Canis lupus familiaris: one gene and its partners. The protein of the gene in region 1 purifies or fractionates together with the protein of each later gene. This does not show direct contact. Links are inferred from orthologs where the notes say so. Each region holds a gene or a part of one and is shown on either strand. Other genes may lie near its edges.

What was found. Proteins that work in one complex are often made in the same cells at the same time.
Region 2: the proteins of protein tyrosine phosphatase type IVA 1-like (region 1) and CNNM4 purify together in Homo sapiens (affinity purification with mass spectrometry; 6 studies listed by BioGRID and IntAct, with this or other methods). This does not show direct contact. The link is inferred for Canis lupus familiaris from reciprocal best matches to the Homo sapiens genes PTP4A1 and CNNM4.
Region 3: the proteins of protein tyrosine phosphatase type IVA 1-like (region 1) and CNNM3 purify together in Homo sapiens (affinity purification with mass spectrometry; 6 studies listed by BioGRID and IntAct, with this or other methods). This does not show direct contact. The link is inferred for Canis lupus familiaris from reciprocal best matches to the Homo sapiens genes PTP4A1 and CNNM3.

The regions. Positions count from the first base shown.
Region 1 is NC_049248.1:18,637,317-18,639,902, reverse strand, and holds protein tyrosine phosphatase type IVA 1-like, read right to left. Parts: upstream 1,182-2,586; 5' UTR 1,122-1,181; coding exon 600-1,121; 3' UTR 580-599; downstream 1-579. UniProt on the Homo sapiens protein: Protein tyrosine phosphatase which stimulates progression from G1 into S phase during mitosis. May play a role in the development and maintenance of differentiating epithelial tissues.
Region 2 is NC_049231.1:46,251,499-46,255,913, forward strand, and holds the start of CNNM4 (metal transporter CNNM4), read right to left. Parts: upstream 2,855-4,415; coding exon 1,453-2,854; intron 1-1,452. UniProt on the Homo sapiens protein: Probable metal transporter. The interaction with the metal ion chaperone COX11 suggests that it may play a role in sensory neuron functions. May play a role in biomineralization and retinal function.
Region 3 is NC_049231.1:46,209,001-46,213,205, reverse strand, and holds the start of CNNM3 (metal transporter CNNM3), read left to right. Parts: upstream 1-1,351; coding exon 1,352-1,695; intron 1,696-1,806; coding exon 1,807-2,732; intron 2,733-4,205. UniProt on the Homo sapiens protein: Probable metal transporter.

The DNA.
Region 1 (2,586 bases):
CCCCCCACCCCCAAAAAAAGGGGAAAAAAAAGAGTTGAGCAAACCTGATGTATACTGGTATAAATGTGGGAGATGTAAACATAAAGTGAGCAGGCAAATAACCATATAGGCCCTAATTTCTATGTTTGAAATGACTGAAGGAATAAACCACATAAGGTCCAGAGTGTTCATAGTTCCTGGGATTTTAGTTCTGTATGATACTAAAAATATACAACAAGTATTGTGCTGGGTATTTTGGCACCTAATCTTTCTAAATTTCTTATATATTGATAAGATTCTGGCATGGGAATAGACTTAAAGACATAACTCAATACTGCATGATTTCAGGAAAGGTCAATTGGTACAAGTGATAAGCACATTTTAAATGCTGTAAAGCAAGAAACTTTTGCTAAGTGTCCAAATAGTTTGATCGTAACCCAAACATAGAGGTTGCAATTCCATCAAACTTGTGGCCTGATAAAACCGCTTTCCAATACTCCTATGGAAGCTTCATTAGACTTAATCACCAAGCCAACATATTGGCTAATATGTGTATATATGACAAATTAGGTCCTGTTTCAAGTTCCACTTCCAAGGCAATGACATCAGGCACCCCAGTTTTATTGAATGCAACAGTTGTTTCTATGACCATTGGAGTCTTGGAAGCGCAGCCGCATTTTAGGACGATACTTCTCCAAATACAAAAGTTGCTTGCTGTTAAAAGCTCCACGCCGCTTTTGTCTTATGAACTGTACTGCATCTTCATATTTCATTCCACCTTCAATTAATGCTAGGGCAACAAGCACTGGAGCTCTCCCAAGGCCTGCGACACAATGGGCAGCAATACAACAACCAGGTTCTTCACGAAACTTAATTTTTACAAGACTTACCCAGTCATCAACAATCTGGTTGGATGGTGGTGCACCATCATCAAAAGGCCAATCGAGAACACGGATGCCTTCTTTCTCCACAAGAGTAGTGTCATAAGTTGCTTCACATACTCTAACTATTGTTGTAACTCCATACTTCTTAAGTTCCTCTATAAATTTGTTTAAGGTCGCATTGGTTGGATTGTGTGTAATAAGAAATCTCATGTTCTTGTATGTGACTTCCACAGGAGCTGGGCGGTTCATTTGAGCCATGTTAATTAAATTAGAAAACACTCAATAGGGTTATGAAAGAATTTTAAAAAATTGAATACAGAAATGATGCAAAGAAACTGAGTCTACTTTGATATACTCCACTTGAAATTCTCAGTGCTTTGAGTATGAAGTTGGGAGTAATGGGAAATGAAATGAACCTCCTAACAATTCTTCAATCCAGTAATACTGAGGCAATAGAAAGGAAATGCACTGAGGTTTACCCCAAGCAGGTCAGAACTCTTGTAACATGCTCTGTGGATTTCAATTCAACACTTCTGGGTCCAGGTTAACCACTCTTATGGGGGCTTCTTGGTGGAGTAGTAATGAATTTCTACAGTTCACTTGTCTGCACAGAGGTCGTGCTGTGCCTGGCAGTAATCTCCACTGCCCTTCAGAAACTCCATAAATGTGTGACCAAGAACACCACAGAACTGAGGAATATGTTTACTCATTGAAGATTGTGGCCTAATCATACAGCCGGTCCCGAGGCGGCAGCTTCGCAGGCGGTGGTGGGGGCACCAGGCTCTACCATGGAGTGAGCGGCTCTGGTACTCAACTTTTTAAATCAAAATACAAATTAAAACCACCATGAGGTACTACTACTATCTGCCATTATGGCTAAAAATAAAAATGACTAATAATACCAAGAGTCGGAAAGGATGAGAACCAAATGAAATGGAACTCTTTCAGAAACCACTTTAGAATAACTATTGAGGAGGGGCACCTGGCTGGCTCAGTTGGGGGAGCATGCAACTCTTGAGCTTGGGGTTGTGAGTTCGAACCCCATGTTAGGTGCACAGATTACTCAAAAATGAAATCTAAAAAAAACAAAAACAAAAACTATTGATCGGTTTCCACTAAAAACAATTACCACATGCCCCCAGGAGTTCCACTCCTGATTATATACAAAAAGAAATATGCACTGTTCCCCGTAAGAACACTTAGAAGAATGTTCATAGCAGCAGTGACAGCAGCATTAGGCAAAAACTGGGGGCTTTTCATAAAATAGAATACTACGGAGAACTGAGAATGAACAAAGCACTGTTATATGGAAGAACAGGGATAAATCTCACTAACAGAACATTCAGCCAACAGACAGGAAGTACAGCTTCTGTAATCATATTAACATAAATTTCAGAAGCAGACAAAACTATTCTATGGCTTAGAAGTCAGAGTGGTGATTACATTTAGGACAACAGTGATCAGGGGAGTTTATGGGTTTCTGGTAATAGTCTGTTTCTTGTTCTAGGTACAGCTGCCTTCACTTTGTGGAAATTGAGCTATACATTACAATCTGTGCATTTCTCTGTATGTGTGTTATACTTCAATAAAACATTTTTTTAATTCCCATAGAAACATTCATTTCGCTTTGCCCCTAACAAATAAGAGGTATCAAGAACTCCTAGCTCAGGTATGAAGCCAACTAAACCATTGCCCATTCACAAATGAGAGATGTCTCAGGCTT
Region 2 (4,415 bases), on another chromosome or scaffold:
GCTGTCTTGCACTTGGACTTATGTTACTCAAATCCTTCTCAGCTCTGATGCTGAGGTTCATTCTGTCTGAAGAGATTCTGAAATCAGTCTGTCCCTCTGAAAAAGGGAGGGGACTAATCTCCCACTCTGGCCCTGATCAGAGCAAACCTGGCAAGGCCAGCTCCTACCTATCCCACCCCCTCACCAGGGACCCATCCAGTTCCAGGCTCTCTCCCCACCTCATGAAATAATCGACCGACAAGCATCTGAGGCCTGTTCCCCACTGGAGCGCAGAAGCTGCTCCCAGCCCTAGGCTGGCAGGCTGCCTTAGCCAGCAGGAGCTCTACCTATGGGGAAGGGAAGCAAAGTCCTGGATTTAAGATGTGCTCCCTCCCCTCCCCCATTCCTTTATAAAGAGCTTCCCTTTCTGCCTCCTCACTCCCTTTGGCCTAGGAGGGTTTCACTCCATAATTGGCTTGTTTACTGCCACTGAGGACTTCTGAGTGGCAGAGGTGGGAGGAAAGTTTTGTTGGACGTAAGGAAAGGGGTGTGTGCCCTGAGCTTTGAGGCTGATGAGTAAAACCTCCAAGTGCCTTTCTAACTACCTGAGAACTGGCCAAGAACCCATGTGAGAAAAAACACAAGGCACTGCACGGCCAGCTGAAGATTTCCAGCAGACCACAGGAGGGAAGCTTATGTTTGGCGCCTGGGAAAAGACAGAACAGTAACCAAAACTTGATCTGCTTGCTTCTGCTGAATAGTCGAAAGCATTACTTGGCACTGTTCTGAGTGGGGAACCCAGAGATCTCCCAATCCAGCTTCTGTGGGTGAGAAGCCCCAGGAACATCACTCTTGCTCGAAAACTTCCGACAGCTCCTAGCTCTGAGCAAACTCTCCACCCTGACATCAGCCTCTCCCCACTGACCACTGAACAGCAGAGCTCAAACCCAGCTCAACAGGACCACCTGCTGGGCCACAGGCACAGCCTTTGCTTCCCCACTCAGGTGCTTGGCTCCTTGTAGGGGTCCTCTTGTCTCAGGGACCAAGTCTCCCCACATCTTCAGGCTCTCCTCAGATGCTGCCTCCCCTAGGAAGGTTTTCCCAGGTCCCCAGCCCCTTCCACACCTCACCCCAATCAGATGTGGGGGCCCACACTCTAATCTCCATGGCCTCTCTTAAGGCATCAGCCTTACTCTGTCCTGCTTCATAGCTCCTGAGGCCTTGCTCTATCCCTCCAAGTGCACAAGTGTTGTCTGGGCTCTGATTCACCTAGAGTACAAAGCACAGTACCTGGCAGACGGCAGATGCTTAGGAACCGTTCCTGCCGCCCCAAATACCGTTCACCTCAGAGGCACAGGAAGTGATGGGCAGTCACACACAAAAACACTAGGACCAGCAGACACAAAACAGGCAAGCGAACGAACAAGAGGCGTCACAAAGCCAGTTAACGGGCAGAACTTCACCAGGCCTTACCCTTCTTGAATTCCTCCAGCATGGCATCCAACTTGGTGTCATGGAAGACGAAATGTACTGGGTGATTATAGAAGCGGGTGATGGTCTTGAGGGGGGTGCAGTCATCGGGGTCCACAAAGGCCAAGTCTTTGACATAGAGAATATCTACAATATTGGACTGCTCGTCCTCGAACACGGGAATGCGGGTGTAGCCGCTCTCCATAATCTCCGACATCGTATTGAAGTCCAGGATGGCATCGCTGCGGATCATGAAGCAGTCTTGGAGCTGGGTCATGATATCCTCCACGGTTTTGGTCCGTAGCTCCAGGGCACCCTGGATCATATTTAGCTCCTCTTTCACCAGGTCATTATAGGGCTCTGTCACCTTCAACATCTCCATCAGCTTCTCCCGATTGTAAACGGTGCGAATCTCCTGGCCCAAAACAAAATCCAGTAGCTTGCTGATGGGGAAACTGAGGGGGAAGGTGAGGAGCATAAAGAATTTGGTGAGAATGATAGTGTTGGCACCCACAGCCAGGCCGTGTCGGGAGCACAAGGCCTGAGGTACGATCTCCCCAAAGATGACAATGCCAATAGTGGAGGAGGCCACCGCCATGAGCCCAGATCCTATGAGGTTGTCTAGAAGGATGGTGAGGGAGGTGTTGACCAGCACGTTTCCCAGAAGCAGGGAGCAGAGTAAGTAGTTGCCCTTGCGCCGGATGGGCTCGATCTTTCGGGCATAGCGCCTCTCCTTCTGGGTGCCACAGTTCTGCACGATGCGAAGCTCCATGGGGTCCAGGGCCATAAGCCCCAGGTTGAGGCCAGAAAATATGCCCGACAGCACCAGCAGCACCATAATGAGGAGGATGTGCAGCCAGAGGGGCAGGACCCTCCCACCCTCCTCCACCATGAAGAGCAGCGAGTCCTTATCGGTCCACCTCTGCCAGGGCCCGTCCACCCCTGCCCGGGTGCACAATGCATACAGCTTCATGTTCTCGCTCCTCCGGAGGAACTTGGTGAGCACCACCAGCATCCCGGACGTGTTCCCGCGGCTCAGGTTGACCAGCTGCTGGACCACCAGGTCCTTGGTGAGCTCGGGACAGTTGGTGGAGTTGTGGACGGCCTCGGAGTTGTCCACCTCGGTGAAGGAGATCAGGTTGCTGGAGATGGAGCCCAGCCTCTGGCCATAGAGCCTCAGGTTCACCGTGCTGCCCTCGGACACGAAGATGATGCCATCTGGGTTCATCCCACACGTTTTGTTGCAGCTCGCCAGCCTCATGCCCAGGATCGCGCCCCGCTGGGGGTCGCCCTGGCCCCGGGCCCCCCGCGCCCACATCAGCACCGGCAGCAGCAGCGCCGCCAGGAGGAGGCGCCCTCGGGCCGGCCCGCCGCCCGGGAGCCCGCCCCCGCCCACCGGCGCCATGTTGCTCCGGGTCGGCCGCCGCCGCTCCCCGCGCCCCGCCGCGCGGCCCCGCTCCCGCCGCCGCTCCTGCCGCTTCGCCGCCGCCGAGCCAACTGCCCCGGCCGCCGGCCTGACGTCAGGTCAGCGCCCCGCCCGCCCCGCCCCGCCGACCCACGCCCCTCATTTGCATGGGAGGCCCCGCCTCCGGGCGCGCGGCTCCGCGCCCGCCCTTAAGGGGGTCCCGAGCTTAAGGTGGCGCGGCGGCGGGCGCGGCGGCGGGGGCGGCGCTCGCCCCTCGCCCCTCCCCCCCGCCCGCGCGCCCTCCCCGCCAGCCTTCCCGCCCGCCCGCGGCCGCGCCGCCCGCTCGCCTCCGCCGGGCCTCCTGCCTGGCCTCGCCGGGCGTCCCTGCGGTCCGGCCGGGCCTCGCGGGCTCGGCTCCTTCCCAGAGACTGGTGCTCGGGCCAGGGTGGCCCTTCTCCGCAGCAACCTCCGCTCCGCGGTGGCTCGGGCAACAAAAATGCTTTTTCTATTATTTAAAAAAAAAAAAAAGGAAAGGGGAACCTGAGGGCTCAGGCATTGCAGACTGCGTCCTCGGAGACTTTTCAGGCAGAAATGGCCTCCGCACTCCTGGGAGTTTTGCTGACCTTGACCCAAGGCCAGAAGTAGGTCCCCTCGGCCCCAGCCCCCAGGCCCCGCACCCTTTGGCCATTGGCTGCCCGGTTGGAACAGTCCAGGGAACTAAGGATGTAGAACAGAACGTTCTCGCGGGTAATAGGGCCAGGGTCTGGCCTCGGCTATCCTCATGTCATTTCCATTCAGGACACAAATACTGAGCACCTACTATGTGCCCGGCTCTTGTTCCAGACTCTAACCATATACAGCCGTGAATAAGCCAAAGTCCCTGCATGATTTTCACGGTCTAGAGCAAAAAACAGACCATAAGCAGGTAAACACATGCAAAATATTGATTTAATCCTTGGAACAACACTAAGAGTTAGTGTTATCTGTCCATATAACAGATGAGGAAATTGAATCTAGACCTGCCTTCGGCTCAGGTCGTGATCCGGGGTCCTGGGATCGAATCCCGCATCAGGTTCCCCGCAGGAAGTTTGCTTCTCTCTCTGCCTGTGTCTGCCTCTCTCTGTGTGTGTCTCTCACAAATAAATCAATAATCTTAAAACACACACACACACACACACAACAAATAACAAATAACAAAGTGGGGTCCCTCCACATTGCTGTCTTAACAGGCTTGTGAGACTGGGAAGGCACGATGGAGTGTCAGCCCCAGTTTCTGTCTATAAAATGGGGATAAGAACAATAATAGGGCACCATCTCACTAAGCTTATAGGAACAACTGGCCTAGGCCTTGAACACGACAGGACAACTCTAAATGTTCTACACAGCTGGTGTTGTTTATGCCTGCCCACCAGGAGGACCAAACCCCTAACCCCAAATTGTGGTGGGGACTGCCCAGCCAGGGCTGATGATGTGAAAATGAGCTGAGAGGTGTGGCGCCAGGCCTAGCCCTGAAATGACTGCTTCCTGGACAGCCCTACCTTGGTGTCAGTTAGCAAGCACC
Region 3 (4,205 bases), on another chromosome or scaffold:
TAATTTTTTTTCTTCAAAGGAGGCATGCTGATCCAGTGGAAAGGCTCAGTAGTGTCATTGCTTCTGCTGGCTCGTAAGTGAGGCATAGCACCCTCTAGATAATAAAAACCAAAAACATGGAGACGTGGTTGGCCTAGTCACAGCGCTGAATTTACAACGTTGAAGAGACATTCTCACCATCCTTTGAGGAGTTTTTCACAAAGTATTTTTTCTTTTGATTATCCACAATGGGTCTGCTCATTTTTGCATGTTGCCTTCCACCCGTTTTACTTAATTGTGGTCACAGTGCCTACACTTTTTCTTACTATTTCCATGACCTAGCAAATGTGTTTCTGTAGAATCCTTAGGAAAATTTTAAATGACATGTAGATGTGCACCCTTATCAAAGTCTACTTTTGTTAGGAAATTTGAAAATACATAAAAATGTAAAGAAAATATACAAAAACAATCTGGATCCTTGTAGAAAAGACTTGTTCAGTTTGTCTCCTTCCGGTCATATAAAGATCATGCACAACGGGTGAAAAGCATTCCATACCGTCAAGGAACCATATTGCCTTCTAAAATAACTCTCTAGTAAGGATCCTGTTGAATAGTTCTTGTTCCCGAGAAGATATTTTCCCAAGGATTATCTGCTAGAAGTAGAGTGACCGGTAACAGGAATTTTTGACCGCGCTGCCCCTCTGCTAACGTGGCTGGGAAGGTGACCGGGGTAGTAAGTAGGTCGTGTTGGATCCTGCATCCACCCTAAGGCACGCTTCACTTTTCTCCTGTAAAAGTAGTTTGAGGATCCAATGAGGTAGCGACTTCGTGGGTTTACAGAATTACCGTCGTTCTCTCTGGCAGGAATGCAAGGTCCTTGAAGGCAAAGGGCTAGGTCTCACGTCCCCAGCCCCACAGAGCACAGTCGGGCGCAATCAGCCCTAAGAAGCTTGAGCTTCCCGACGTCGGGGCCCCTAGGTCAGCGGTGCGCGGAGCCCTTCCCTAAGAAACGGTGCGGCCGCCACACACTGGCGTCTCTGGCTCCGCGCCCCGGCTTCCCAGAGCGCAGGTGCGGCCTCGGGGCGCGCCGAGGGCCCGCGGGAACGGGACGCCCAGGTCGCCGGCCACCCCCCTGCCCCGGGAGCCGCGGCCGAGCCCCGCGGCGCCCGCAGCCCCACGCCCCACGCCCCACGCCCCCGGCCCGCCCCGGGATCGCGCCGCCGCTTGTTTACTCCCGGCGCAGCCTAGTCCGACCCTGAGGCCCGCCCTCGCCCGCCGCCTATTGGCGGAGGAGGCGCCAAGGCCGGCGACCATTGGGCCGGGGGAGGCGGAGGGGTAGGCTGCGCGGGAGGCCGAGAGGGGGCAGCGGGCGATGGCGGCGGCGGCGGCGGCGGCGGCGGCGGCTCGTCTAGGCTGGTTGCTCGCCGCGCTGTGCCTGGGCGTCGCCGCCGGGGAGGCCGCGCCGGGCCCGCGAGTGCTGGGCGTCTGTCTGGAGGAAGACGGAGACGCGGGCGCGGGGTGGGCGCGCGGGGGAGAGGCGCGGGCCGCCCCGGAGGCCGCCTTCCGCCTGCGCCTCTTCGGCTCGGGCTTGGCCAACAGCTCCTGGTCCTGGGTGGCCCCCGAGGGGGCGGGCTGCCCCGAGGGCGGGCCGGCCGCGACGCCCGGGGAGGAGGAGGAGGCGGCGGCGGCGGCCCCCGCGGGCGAGTGGCGTGCGCTGCTGCGCCTGCGCGCCGAGGCCCCGCGCCCGCACTCGGGGCTGCTGGCGGTGCGCGGGGAGCCGGGCGGCTCGGCGGCCCGGGAGGCGGCGGCCCCCGCGGGCGAGTGGAGCGCGCTGCTGCGCCTGCGCGCCGAGGCCGTGCGCCCGCATTCGGCGCTGCTGGCCGTGCGCGTGGAGCCGGGCGGCGCGGCCGCGGAGGAGGCGGCGCCGCCCTGGGCGCTGGGCCTGGGGGCGGCGGGGCTGCTGGCGCTGGCGGCGCTGGCGCGGGGCCTGCAGCTGAGCGCGCTGGCGCTGGCGCCCGCCGAGGTGCAGGTGCTGCGCGAGAGCGGCACGGAGGCCGAGCGTGCGGCGGCGCGGCGCCTGGAGCCCGCGCGGCGCTGGGCCGGCTGCGCCCTGGGCGCGCTGTTGCTGCTGGCCAGCCTGGCGCAGGCGGCGCTGGCGGTGCTGCTGTACCGCGCGGCCGGCCAGCGCGCCGTGCCCGCCGTGCTGGGCAGCGCGGGGCTCGTGTTCCTCGTGGGCGAGGTGGTGCCGGCCGCCGTGAGCGGGCGCTGGGCGCTGGCGCTGGCGCCGCGCGCGCTGCTGCTCAGCCGCCTGGCCGTGCTGCTGACCCTGCCGGTGGCGCTGCCCGTGGGCCAGCTGCTGGAGCTGGCGGCGCGGCCCGGGCGGCTGCGCGAGCGCGTGCTGGAGCTGGCCCGCGGCGGCGGCGACCCCTACAGCGACCTCAGCAAGGGCGTGCTGCGCTGTCGGACCGTGGAGGATGTGCTCACGCCGCTCGAGGACTGCTTCATGCTGGACGCCGGCGCCGTGCTGGACTTCGGCGTCCTGGCCAGCATCATGCAGAGCGGCCACACGCGCATCCCGGTGTACGAGGAGGAGCGCTCCAACATCGTGGACATGCTGTACCTCAAGGACTTGGCCTTCGTGGATCCCGAAGACTGCACGCCGCTCAGCACCATCACCCGCTTTTACAACCATCCGCTCCACTTCGTCTTCAACGACACCAAGCTGGACGCCGTCCTGGAGGAGTTCAAACGAGGTAACTGCGGGACATCGGGGAGGGGACACGAATGCCAGCGCCCTCCGCTGGAAGAAAGGGGGGAGGGAGTTATGGAAGCCTCGAGGGAAAGGGTCCCATCCTTCCCTCCCAGGGCCCTTTGAGATGATGGCCTCACAGGGCTCAGTGGCCTCTTGAGATACCTAAAGGCTGTCCTTCAGGGCGCCGTAGAAAGCAAAATCCCCCTTTTCCTGGTAGGCCTGATTTGGGGAGCCGTGTCCATTTGACTTACCAGCTTCAGGGTCATTTTTGTGGGCTTTGGCTTTGTAACAGGCCTATACTCTTAAATAGAAAGGAGGATAGTCTTCAGACACCTGGATGTTATCACCTGCGCACACAGTGTCAAAACAGCTGGGCCTGTGAAGTTTCCAGCGATCATGGTTTTAAGGTCTCTGATGGGCTGCTGCCTTGCTGATAACAGAAGAAGGGATGATGCCTGATTTTCTGCAGGTGTGGAAGAAACTTCCACTTTGATTTCACCAGAAGCAACCTTATGGATGATTTAGTCTCCCTCTTTTCTTTTCTTTTCTTTTCTTTTCTTTTCTTTTCTTTTCTTTTCTTTTCTCTTTCTCTTCTCTTCTCTTCTCTTCTCTTCTCTTCTCTTCTCTTTTTTTTTCTTTTCTTTTTTTTTAACTTCCTCTTTTCTAAGACTGAGATCTTTTGGCGTCTCCCTTAACTCCACAGTTCACCTCCTTTTACCTTGGTTTATCTGAGCAACTCTAAGGTCACATGGGTAAACATGGAGACCCAACCTCCAAGTGTGAAGGTATGGGTTCCTCTGTAGTCCTCTCCATCCTAAGGCGTGGGTGTGCTCCCCAGAGCGTGGCTGCTCTTTGTCCACCAGCCATGCTTCTCCTACACTCCTACAGGATGAAGACGGGGGACACCCCAGGGCTCTGGATGGGCTTGACCCTAAAGGCTGCATAATGTGAGGCTGGGAAGAGAGCAGATCCCCTGATCTTCCTGGCAGCTGTGAAGTCTGCTGGCCCCAGGCCACAAGAGTATAATTAGTCAGGGCGTGGTATTGAAAAGTTGGGCAGTTACTATCCTTACTGTACCTGAGGATTGAGTGGGGAGGCTTTGCTGTGCAGCTCTGACAGCTTGCTAGAGCATCTCTTGGGTGCTCGTGGCTCTTTCTCCCAGAAAGTGGTAATGCAGTTCCTCTGTGGGGAGGGGATGCCCAGGTGGGGTCTCTGATCTCTGGTGGTGAGTACTCCATCTGGGCCATTGTAGTACTCGAGGCAGTAGAGGTTCTTGTGGCCTGGTGGCCAGGACTGCCAGCCCTGGAGTGTGCAGAGGTGGGTTCCAGCCCGCCCCTGTCACATCCCAGCTTGAGACTCTGGGATGGCTGGACTGGATCCTCCAGGGCGCTGACTTTGAGCAGAGCACTGACTGATATGGAGAACAGTGAGTAGGGGGTCCAGCTAAGAAATGATCAAAGGCTGAACGAAGATG